Linked DNA regions of Neodiprion lecontei. The protein of the gene in region 1 interacts with the protein of each later gene in a pairwise test. Links are inferred from orthologs where the notes say so. Each region holds a gene or a part of one and is shown on either strand. Other genes may lie near its edges.

Region 1 (5,109 bases):
CCTCCCCCCCTCCACCGCCGCCGTCAACAGGCAGAATGTATAAACTTTTACCCTTCACGCTGCAAACTTGGTAAACACAAGTTTTTCGAATATTTTACCGTTATTGCCGATTCTAATTACACCGATTGAGATTGACCAGTTGTTTCCGTGATACAAGATGATAAAAATGTACCTAAATTTCACAGGTATTTACGAAATGACTGTTTAAAATGTCAACATTTATTTTTCAATAATGAGGCACAGTTTCGGTGTTCTAAGCACATTGCACATTTTTATAACAATCTTTTTGAAATGTGCATTACAATAAGAACAACTTCAACTTGTAACTTTAGCGATCGAATTGGGCGTTTAGAAAATATAGTCAGTTAAAAATATTTTTCGCAGCGGAAATCGTCGAAGTTTGCTTCTGAGTTTACCGAAACGAGATATAGAAACGAGTTCAACCCTGTTTGCGACCATTGCCAATTTTGTCACACCGTGAGCACAAATAGATAGATAAAAACGATGAAGAGAGCTACCATTTTTAGTGATTTCTTGCACGCAAAGAGAAGTAAAAGTTGAAGTAAAGAAAAAGTCTAAAAATAATAAATTATGAACGCTCAACTAACTTGTGAGAAAAGAGAAATTCAGAACGCCTGCATGATAATTTGAAAGTCGTTAACATAGGCTAAAACATCAGTGACAAAAGGTTTGGGATAATTGTGAAAAACTTTTCAAACCAAACGGCAAGAAACTTATTGACTGAACCGTATTAACCAAAGTTCCGGTTCACAGCCAATTATACGACTACGGGAATCCGAACGAGCAGAAAAGATAATAATCACTTCGTCAATTAGTGTCAAATTTAAATACTTTTTTATTTACCTGGTTCACGGAATTTACCTGTTGTTAATTCCGTGAATAAAGCTCAACCGTTGCAATCAGAATTGACAATAAATGTCAAATATTAACAAAACTTGTGCTTGCCGTGTTCGTAAGCTCACGGGTAAATATTTTGCATTCTGCCTGATTACGGCAGGGGGGAGGGAGGGAGAAAGAATCGCTCTCCCTCCCTTCCTTATTTTGTTACCAATAATTTTTATTCACGGTAACTTCTTACCTTACTGCGTCTCAATTTGTGTATCCCATATTTTCTTCTTCGAAATATCTCCGATCGTTTATCTGTGTTTTCTATGGAATCGTGTACTTTGGCATACCGTAGGCCAGATAAGATTCTCTCTACAAAATAAGACTACCAGCGGCATCTTCGATTGAACGCGAATGTTGCCTCCTTCAGGTTCCTTTTTGTCGTAAAAACAGGTCTGTAATCGATAGCATGATTGATAATCAATTGATCAAGTCGTGAGAAGTACTAACAAATCCTCTTCCACAATAAAACTTCCCGATTTCGAGTCGCCTGATTGCTCTGTCTTTTGTTTTCTCGGGTCAGGTCGAAACAAATTTGTGTGAAAGTCGACACGCATCCTGGTGGATACGGGAAATTACGGGAAGTCAGAAATTCACATATCGCTTCGCATTTTACGTATTGTTATGTATGTATTTCGATTAACTCACTGCATCGGTTTCTTTCTCACGTTGTTGACGATGCAAAAAAACAAAATACATCGATGCGATCCGGGTTGTGGCGCCATAGGTGAGAGTATTAAGAACCCTAGCGTAAGAAAATGCCTTACCTTAAAATCTTGCGAGTAAATCTGTTCATTCGAATTCGCAGATGTGAAACGAATCCTATTCGCCAACTAAGGGAGCGGTTACTCCCGAATCATTCTCAGTTTCATTCGGTTAAAGGTCGCAACCGCTTTTCCAAAACATCCTCGCCATCCACGCTCGCCACGACAGCTTTCTTCCCGAGCGTCGACGAGGCAGTTAGTCGGCAGCCTGAATTCAAGATGGCGCGAGGGTCACGTGTCCCACCGAGAAAGGCAGTGGCGCGGCAGTTCGGCGTTTCGGATCCAGGCGTCGCTGTTTGCGATGTTGTAATTACGGTTTGCCGTTTCAACGATATATGCTCCCGTACCCACGCGCAGTTGTGGTAATGGCCCCGCGCGTTATACAGGGGTAAAACGAGACGGCCGTTTGGGGGAATTGAATGTGTTGTCATCGCGGGGTCGCGCGCGTCGTGATTAACGTAAACTGACCGTGCGGTAGAATCTGTGACCCGACGAAGAGTGGATAGTGACAGTTGAAAAGTGAGGTTAGGGTTAGACTTACGGGACGAGGACGAGGAGAAGGAAGATACGGTGTGAAGTGTTATCATTGTGCGTACGAGAACCTCGGTGTTACTCATCCCCCCTCTCTGTCGATAAAGCAAAACAAACAACATGTGACAAACGCCGCGCGTTCGAAACAACATGTAACTCTCACCACCGTTCAAAGTGCAACGATCACGGGAAAGAAGTAAATGCGAACGGGGTTCACGATCGAAACCTTCGTCAGTCGTCGTTCGGCGTTTAGCCCGAATCGCAGAAGTCCGCTTCTCTTCTGTCTTGACGTTTTATCGAGTACAACATCGGGCCCTCCTTCTCTCCCGCAAACAGAGAGAGAGAGAGAGAGAGAGAGAGAGAGCGAGAGAGCGAGAGAGAGAGAGAGAACGAGAGAAAATAGAGGGAGGCGGCGGATAAACCCGGCGTGTCCGTCTCTCCTGCGGTTGGCTTCAGGCTGCAGCTACGGCAGTTGTGCGTCCCTCGGACTCTCTAGCAGCGGTACACCGGTTCGTCTCTCTCCCCCCCTCCCCTCTCTCTCTCGCTCTTCACGTCGCTTACCCCCGTCCGTTGGATGTCGCACTCCGCCCCCCCCCCCTCGTGCCGAACGACCTACGACCGTCTCTTTCTAGTCGGCTGAAACACGCCGCGCTCACTCTCAACTACCTGTTGTGACGTCGAGCCGCGCGTTATTCGACGTCGCCTTCTGCCGCTGCGAACGACGATCGGCTGGTAGGAGAGCACTCGAGGAGACGTACGTATAACGACGAGTAAGTAGGCGAGACTACTCGCGATCGGTGCACGCGATACCCGTCGTGCGTCGAACAAGTCGAGGATCGGGAAAGGTGGCGCGGTTCGCCGGGACGGATTGTTTACAGTTATTCTTGTTGACGTTCTTTTACACCCTTCGGCGCGAGAGGCGAGAAAGGGCTGCCGCTGATATTCGTACGTAGTGCATACACACGCGCGGCGAACAAAGAAAGTGCAATAGTTGGGTAAGAGTGCGCGGAGTTGACAGTAGTGACAATTAGGTGGAAGTACAACACGTCGAATCCCTACAATGTTTACGGTCGTAACGAAGACGCCGCCGAATGTCATCGGGTTCTTGTTTACATCACGTGGAAGAGGACCGCTACCACCGCTATAGGGCATTGCCGTCGTCGCCGTTCGCAGTGTGTTTCTTCACCCTCCTCGTCACGGAGTTGAACCTGCGCCTGCGCCTGCGCGAGCGCGGCACGCGTGATTCTCGATACGATAAGAAGCGGCAGCGAAGCGACAAAAGCGAGAGGAGAGCGTATAGCGCTCGCCGAGTGATAATAACGTAAAATTCCTTGTTGCAAGGAGGCGGGGGCGAAGGGGAGGTGACGAAAAATAGGAACAATCGCGCGTCGTACGCCGATGTACGAGGTTGCGGAGGAGGGAGAAGCGAGTGACAATCTGCGAGTCAAGTCCAACGGGGGCACCTTCTCGAGTAAGAGAGAAGAAAAAGAAGAGGAAGAGGAAGAGGCAGAGGCTGAGGTAGACGTAGACGCAGACGTGGAAACAGTCGTCGTAGAAGTAGAGGTAGAAGTAAAAGTCGGAGCGGCGGCTGTCCGCCCGTGGAAGGACGGCTCGCGGTGCAAGGGGAGGATGCGAGGGGGGATTATCGCGGTGGCGGAGGAGACACCCCGTCGCGGCGCCAGGGCGACGAGAAGCAGAGGCTCTCATTGAGCTGGCGTACCCTGCGCTGGACTTAGGGGGCTGTATGGAGGCAGGGGGGCTCCTGCCCCGGCAGCCCCCGCAAGGCCCCCCCTCAGGGCCAGCCTCGGCCTGCGTGGGCGCGTCTCAGCAGAGCGTGCAGCACCAGAATAACAACAACAACAATAACAACAACCTCAACAACAACAACAACAACAACGGCATCATCGTGCAGCCGGGTGGCTTGAACGCGAACCAATTGATCGCCCAGAATCAGATACAACAATTACAAATGGGACAGGCGCCGGGGATGGAGGATGCCTTAACCCCAAAGAGGCAGGCCGTATTCGACAGGCTAAGGAGGAGGATCGAAAGCTACAGGAGGCGGCAGACCGACTGCATACCCAGGTTTGATCAGAGCTTCAACGGACTCGTTGAACAAAATAGCCAGGACACTCAGGTGCTCAAGCAACGATTTCTCGAGAGCAAGGCCAAACGGCAGGCCAAGAAGACCGACAAGAAGCAAAACGACCCCGTCGGACTCGCCAGCGTTCACGTGGTGAGTTTACCTCTGTTATTCCCGTTTGTTTCTTTATTATGCGAAACCTTTCCCTGTACGTATTGTGATAAAAGCCCTTCTCTCTCTCTCCCTCCCTCCCTCTCTCTCTTTCCAAGTACCTAAAACGGTCATAAACATTCCGGCTGTCCCGTTTCTTACAAGTCAAACGTATTGTCTCGAATTCCCTAATCCTCTTCGAGGTGATACCGTTGTAAGGAAGAAAAGAAAGAGAGAGAGGTAGAGGGATAGAGAGTTAGTTGAGCCGCACGTACGGAAAGTCGTTAGTACAACAACGGTATGTAACGGGCGAGCGACGGTGAGGACGAGGAGGACGACGGTGACTACGGGCGTCTTGCTTGCCCGACCCAACCAACCAACCAGCCAGTGCAGTAATCCGAGCTTAGACCGGAGCAACCCGACATTCCAATTCGATTCCCGCGTTTAACTCTCTCCATGATTCATGCATCTATGTGCATACATACGCACGCGTCTCTGGTGTACGTTTATACCCTAGACGACGACGACGACGACTCCGCGAGAGAGATGCGATCTCGCCGTTTCTGTTCGCCGCCGGCTCCCCCTCCGCCCGTCCAGTTATCGCGTCTAATTATATTATTATATGCACGCAGCCCGAAGCCTTCGCTCGGCTCGACCATCCATTCGATCCAGCTT
Region 2 (7,603 bases), on another chromosome or scaffold:
GACGTCGCTGGATTTCATCAGCTTTTTTAATTTTTTCGATTTCATGACTGTGACTTCTGGCTCATCGCTAGATTCCCAGTCACTCTCCCAGTCTTCGTCAAGCTCGTATTCCTTCAAATTTTCAATTATCTCCACATTACCGTCTTCTGACGGAATCCCGTTATTCTCTGAGTTTGAACTCAATGAACTGACTTTGGTAATGTCAGGTTTTTTGGCTGTCAGAACATCCTTATTCACACCTGAAAATCACAAACAACAGTAGCAACTGTTCAATATGAGAAAAATATGGGTAAGATATTTACCATTGATATACACAAATCTTGTCAAGTTGTCAGCTGCAATGCGACTCGCATTATCAATCTTTGTAGTTGTAGCAATCCCCTGTTCAGTGAGAAGGACATCCAATTCTTCCAAAGTCATGGTCTTGCCTCCCATCTCTCGCTCAGCTTCCTCCAAACATTCCTGAACATTTCTCCGCTTAAGCAAACGCTTCATTTGGTAGTTTGAAAAATCGTGAGTATCCTGAAAAGATTTTTCAATCATTCATAAAATCATCCCTACCTTTAAATATTTCATTTATATAGTCAAGAGCAAAGCAAACCTCAGGCATTTCATGAAGACATCCCCAAGAGTTTTCCTTCCTCGACGCCTTTAGATCGGTTAGTATGTCGTGACGGACATCCGGTGGCAATGCCCTAAACTCTGTGCTGCTGACATCAACACTGTGGATATTTCCTTTCCATTTGGCTTGTTTCCTCGGACTAAGTTGAACAGATGATTCGGTTTCTGTCTCCGGATCATCTTCGTTCTCCGAAACAAACTCGCTGCTACTGGGAATGACGGGTAGCTTGAATAAATTCAGAGACGAATGTACAGAGGATCGATCGACTTTCTCACTGGTTTCCCCCTTTTCTTCCTGCTTCTCAGCACTTCCAGCACCCAGGGCTCCCTTGACTACCGTACGTTTAAGCAAATTATTTATCAAGTCGTTCTTCATTTTTTGCGCCTTACTAGATGCCATAGATTTCTGCTTTCTGCGAGAAGCCTGGACAGGGGGATAAGACAATAGAATAATTAACTCCGTTCTCTCACTACCTTATTCCCACGCTTAGCCTAATTGCATTTTTACATACTTGCATTAAAATCAAGATAACAAACTATATTCTGCATATGATATAGCATGTGAACGCTTGTATGTTATATTCGTTTTAGGACATACAAAATAGAAGTTTGAAACTTTAATTTTGCCATACCAAAAGTAGAAGACAAGGTGTCCTATGTGTAGCTATATTTACTCAACAAACATGAAAATCTGCACCATCTATTCCTGACGAAACTTACAATCGTGTTCTTCTTGAGCAGAGGTACGCCGCCATCAAATACAAACACAGGTTTGATCTTATAATACAGTAATTTACATATTCGATTGAATAACCCAAGAAGATGAGCATTGGGCAGAGGACTTCCGTGCCCATCCTGATATCCTTGCATCACTTGATGCAACCAAATGGAAACATCTGAAGGTTTAAGTTAAGATAAATGTAGAATGCAGACGTGGGTATATGAGTATCATTGCCATTGAGGTAACCAATGATCGAGTTTGGTTGATAATGGGTATTGAAAGGATACCGACGGCGAGGACTTTTCCCTCCAGTGTTTCTAAAGCCACTGGTTTTCCAGCAGCATCCAGCAGTCGCCACAGACCATGAACGCCCATGGTGAATAATTATATATCATTAATTCTGAGGAAACAAATTTCATATAACACTTGTCGGAAACATTTACATCAGTTGTAAGTTATTGCTTTCGCGGTTTTAGTATAACATAACCTCAATTATTGATGGTACTGACACGGATGTTATGGTCGTTATTCACGATTGACGTTACTCACCGAAACGACAGGGACGAGACGCATCTTTGCTGATCGTCGCTGTGCGTACTACGTAAAATTATTCGCGGTTAAAAAAATGTAGCTCATGTGCAAACATACCACCCCAGTAGTCTATGTCGCCACGACGCGGTGCGCAAAGAAGTAGAGACATTGAATGGAAGGAAACTAAAGATTGAATCCGATGTCTTTATAGATGAATGCATATCACCCGGTACATATTTAAAAGCTGGGGAGGATACATACAGACCATTCGGAAGAAACGATGAAGCGATTATCCGACAAATGCAGGCCTACACGCAAGCATCGCATGTTACAGGTACACAGTATAGGCAAATTTGTATGTATCATAACTACTAAGTATTCATATGAATAATGGAAGTATGTGGCGTAATTATCGTTTTATGTATTACGATTTGTCAACGAATTCATAGTCAGGTTTACCCGAGTCGAACAGCGTGTTATATCTTACATGGTAGCATCAAGCGAGCAAGATGGAGCGCGTTGTATGCATACACACGTCACACGGTAAATACTGTACATACGGATGTACATCGACACGCGTGTGCGTGAATCGTGGTCATCATAACCACGCAGTTAGAAGTGGAATGGAGCGGACCGGAGTGGGGTGAGTGAGGGAGTTGAGGCCACCCACCCACTCTTTCCCACAGCAGGTTTTTCCCACGCCCTCGAGGGTAACCCCAACATCCTTTTGCGGCAGCAATTCCAGGCGTTGTAGCTGGGAAGTGGGGCCGGCGGGGTCGGAGTAGAGTGGGAGACGAGTGCCCAGGCCAGACCGGGGCATTGTAGAACAGTAAAACAATAGAAACTTCAGCCACTTACGATGGAATAATAACTCTACGCCGTCGCGGGGGATTGTTTAGTTCCATCCCAGACTCTGACATTGAACCATCATTGTCCAGGCATACACACGTCCGTATGTATGTAGCATACATGTGATAAAATGTTACACACGGCTCGGACCACTTTTAACTAATAAAATCTATCGTCGCTGCCGCGGGGTGACGGCGGCGAGTCTCGCGAACTCCGTTTTTAATTGCCGTTCAGCGCAACACTCGCCGTCCCCTTGTGAGTAATTGTTCTCTGTCAAAAGTTCTTCGGGTCGGAGTGTCTCGTAGCAGTTTTCTTCACCGTAGAACCGGCGACGCATGTGTGTAGTACATACGTATGTGATACATGCATAGCTCATAGATACGCTCGTAGGGCCAATTGACGTCGGATGGTGCGGTGAGTTTGCGCGAGCGTTGGCAGAACTGTCGGAAAATTCGTAAAGTGAACAGGTGTTTTTTGAATGGATTAATTGTTAGGAAAAGACAGGCAGGCAGGTAGGCTACAGTTGTGTACAGTGTATTGCAGTCAGTTATTCTCGGGACCGCCACAATGCTTCCGAAATAGTAATAGCTAACGAAACGAGGTATGGATGCCGAAACGGGCGTCTCTACCGAAAACATTTCTCACCCTCGTAGTTACCAAATCGAAAGAACTGACGAACCACGGCTGGACATGGATAAAGCCGTTCGCAGCAGTGGGAAATGAGGTAGGCCTGTTTGTTACCCGTACGTTTTCACCCTGTCTGCAATGCAACCTATCGTAACCTCGCGGTAATTCGGTGCAATATATTAGTAAACAAACGTCTCGTATATGAGTACGCTCGTAAATACGTAAATGCATAGGTATAGTATACGTGCGGAGTGATATATGCATTCACGTGTATATTTGGTACAAGTGAAAGCATGTTTTTTCCGAGCAATCCTGTTTCTTTACTACTTTGCGATGTTTGGATGATAAATGTTAAATTCAACATTAAATTTGCAAGTACGCTTGAGAGTAGAAATAATTAAAAATATTGCGTTGTCATTACCGACAGCGTGCTCGTTAGGGCCAGTAGAGCAAACGTAGCTAAACCCGCTCCATCTAGGCTAAAGCGAGAAAAGCTGGCAGTGCCTCGGATTGTTTGACAACAATTAACCGTCGCGCGTGAAAATTCGTTTATCTGCACGCATGTAATTTCTGTGATTTAATTCAGATGCTTTCATTCGCCGGGTTTGATATCAGCTGGGTATCGCCGAGCGATGGTTGCTACCGCGTGTGATACGCGCGTTTTGCCTTTTAACATAGTACGTTTTTAAAAAGTGAGATTATGTAGGTTTAAATCGTACAAAAAAAATCAGAAAAATATAGAATAAGCAGCTGTATCTGTGTCTGTAACACGTATTGTTTTCCAGATGAAGAGCTGACCTGCGGGCAAGTGGCAGGGATCATATCCACACGTGCGAAGATGTAACTGGTGCTCTAAAAAGTGGTGCTCAGAAATTGGTTTCCTGCCTAGATAGTAACGAGTGTAAATATGCCGCATCAGTTTGGGCTGCCTGCAATGGCGCACGGCATGCAGTCCCCTCCATCTCCGTCAGCTGTGTCGTCATCCTATCCTAGATTTGCCTCCTCCGGAGTGTACAGATCTGATACAGACCAGCGGCTGACGCGTGAAGCGATGGAGCGCTACCTCCGCGATCGAAGTGACATGGTGATAGTGATCCTGCATGCCAAGGTGGCACAGAAGTCGTATGGCAATGAGAAGCGGTTCTTCTGTCCTCCACCATGCATATACCTCTTTGGGGATGGGTGGAGGATGCGCCAAGAACAAATGCTACGCGAGGGGGAGTCCGAACAGTCGGCACAGCTGTGCGCCTTCATCGGGATTGGCAACTCAGACCAGGACATGCAGCAGCTGGACCTCAACAACGGGAAGCAGTATTGCGCTGCTAAGACTTTGTACATATCAGACTCTGACAAGCGAAAACATTTTATGCTGTCGGTTAAGATGTTTTATGGTAGCGGACATGACATAGGTGTATTTCACAGCAAGAGGATAAAGGTGATATCGAAGCCGTCAAAGAAGAAGCAATCCCTCAAGAATGCCGATCTATGCATTGCCAGTGGCACCAGAGTCGCCCTGTTTAATCGCCTCAGGTCCCAGACTGTCAGCACCAGATACCTCCATGTCGAGAACGGCAATTTTCACGCCAGCTCAACCCAGTGGGGTGCCTTCACTATACATCTGCTCGATGATAATGAAAGCGAGTCTGAAGAGTTTCAGGTATGCTATCTTCTATCCTGTGAGATTAATTTTACACCATGCACAATGTCATGCAAGATCTATCATGGTATATTGTGAGATTTGCAGGTTCGAGATGGGTATGTTCACTACGGAAGTACAGTAAAGCTGGTTTGCTCGGTAACAGGCATGGCCTTGCCACGTCTGATAATCAGGAAGGTAGACAAGCAGATGGCAAGTTTAGAAGCAGATGACCCAGTTTCCCAGTTGCACAAGTGCGCCTTCTATATGAAAGACACAGATCACATGTACCTCTGTCTGTCCCAGGAGAGAATAATACAGTTTCAGGCAACGCCGTGCCCCAAAGAAGCCAACAAGGAGATGATCAATGATGGCGCCTGCTGGACCATCATAAGTACAGACAAAGCAGAGTATCAGTTTTTCGAGGGAATGGGGCCTGTCCGTTCTCCCGTAACTCCAGTCCCCCTGGTTCACAGCCTGCACTTGAATGGTGGTGGCGACGTAGCGATGCTCGAACTAACCGGGGATAATTTTACACCAAATTTACAAGTGTGGTTTGGCGATGTTGAGGCCGAGACGATGTATAGGTGTCAAGAGAGCATGCTGTGCGTTGTTCCAGACATTTCTTTGTTCAGGGGGGAATGGCTCTGGGTTAGGCAGCCCACACAAGTCCCAGTTTCGCTAGTCAGGAATGACGGGATTATTTATGCGACGGGACTGACGTTCACTTATACCCCTGAACCTGGGCCACGGCCACACTGTCCTCCTGCTGACGAGATAATGAGAGCGCCGAGGTCCATGCATGATCCGAGTCTGCCCCCTGCGATTGCCGATGTTCCTTGGAATATTCACCATCAGCAGCCTCAGTCGGGACTCTGATGTATCGCGCACTGCCAGAATCTGAGCAGTGGATCGGCTTCTAATGACAGCTACAGTGACAGTGACGGTGAGAATAGCTCTAGTGGTGAAAGTTTTTTGCGGCAAGCTGACGAGACTTAGGGAGATGAGTGTGACATGTGCAGCGACAATTTTAGGTGATGCCGAATTGTAAAAATGCTTATCATCTACAAAATTTGTATGAATCTGGTCACTAAGTACAGTGCTGCTGTTCGTAAAAAAGATATAGAAAAAGAGGGAACAACAGTTATGAAGGGAAGAAAAAAAATATAGAAACGGTGAATAAACTTTATCCTCATCTTCAGCTTCATTGTTCTCCCTTATACTCGATCTGATTTTCTATGAGTAATTCTAGAATCTGCATTGTATGAAAACTATTATTTCTAATAAGTCCCCCCTGCCATTGAAGCAATGGGCCGTAACAGGCCGGAAAAACCAGGAATCATTGGAGAACTTTCTTAATCTAGAAAAGTCCAGGAATTTAATATCACCCGGTCATTTATTGCCACCCTGATTATGGCTCCTCGTAAGCGTGTGGAGTAACAAACTCGTATGTACAAGAAATAATACCAAGAAGACATTTTGTAATATTTTTCTTACCATATTTATAATCTTTTAGCTAAAAATGTGAATATCTGTTATTTCTTCTACACACGAATCGAAAAGCGATACATATGCAATTACCCTTTTCGTAATATACCGTGTAGATGTAATATGTACGATATACAGAAATAATATGCAGAAATCTGAATCCTGGCCGAGAAAATACTTGTATAAAAATACCTCAAGGGTCCATTAGTATATACACGTGGTATGAAGTGGGACACGCCTTGTTTCAATTATTTTTTACGTCTTCAAAAGATATTGAGAAAAAATATCCAATTAGAATACTTCTTTCTATTTTCAAGTTATAATTGTAGATATACATAATGCATATAACATGTGTTTGCATAATGGAACAGCACCATTTATAACAATAATACAATGATGAATACAGATAATATTTCAGTATATCGCAGTTTATGATTGAATGTATATGTATCTATGTACATATATATGTACGTACCGACACCTCCGCGAATTTCCACAACACTTTAGGTTGCAAGATTTCCTGTATGTATAGTATATACATATTGGAGTTTTTTAAATTTTTCTCAAGGCATATTTCCGTTTTTTGAACAGGTATGTATTGTATATTACTGGTGAGGAAACGAGATAAGATCGACTCGAATCTGCCTGTCTCCATGTGATATGCTCTATTGTTAGCAAGGAATGGAAATGTGGCATCCCATGGGAATTTACCCACAATTAACATTCTCGTTGCCTCACAGTGTCGGGTACTCGACAACAGCAGTGAGGCACGTTTATCTTTCTTATTCGCAACACGGTTAAATCCGAGCTTACAATAATTACATCCTCCTAGTGTATACATAATTGTGCATAATTCTCTCTGTCTCTCTCTCTCGCTCTCTATACACACACACACACACGCACACATATATATGTATGTATTTATTTATTTATGTATAATAACCCGAGACTGGACGGATACAATTCGTATGGGAAAACCTTAGAGCATTGTATATGCTCCAAGGGGAAGACTTGGATGGGAAGTATGACTGCTTGCCCTAATCAGCTGCTTTTCATATTTTCTCGTTTTCCTTTCCATGTTGTATGATTAATATATTAAATATACTATATTTTAGTTGCATAATCGAAAT

What was found.
Region 2: the proteins of neurogenic protein mastermind (region 1) and suppressor of hairless protein interact in a two-hybrid assay, tested with the Drosophila melanogaster proteins (6 studies listed by BioGRID). The link is inferred for Neodiprion lecontei from reciprocal best matches to the Drosophila melanogaster genes mam and Su(H).

The regions. Positions count from the first base shown.
Region 1 is NC_060265.1:1,240,899-1,246,007, forward strand, and holds the start of neurogenic protein mastermind, read left to right. Parts: upstream 1-2,006; 5' UTR 2,007-3,945; coding exon 3,946-4,437; intron 4,438-5,109.
Region 2 is NC_060264.1:23,422,767-23,430,369, forward strand, and holds suppressor of hairless protein, read left to right. Parts: upstream 1-1,936; 5' UTR 1,937-2,207; intron 2,208-2,360; exon of another isoform or gene 2,361-2,485; intron 2,486-2,700; exon of another isoform or gene 2,701-2,841; intron 2,842-3,132; exon of another isoform or gene 3,133-3,446; intron 3,447-3,532; exon of another isoform or gene 3,533-4,051; intron 4,052-4,134; 5' UTR 4,135-4,256; coding exon 4,257-5,006; intron 5,007-5,093; coding exon 5,094-5,864; 3' UTR 5,865-6,883; downstream 6,884-7,603. Other genes in the region: DNA excision repair protein ERCC-5, read right to left, coding at 1-239, 303-522, 602-1,045, 1,342-1,517, 1,630-1,717. UniProt on the Drosophila melanogaster protein: Transcriptional regulator that plays a central role in Notch signaling, a signaling pathway involved in cell-cell communication that regulates a broad spectrum of cell-fate determinations.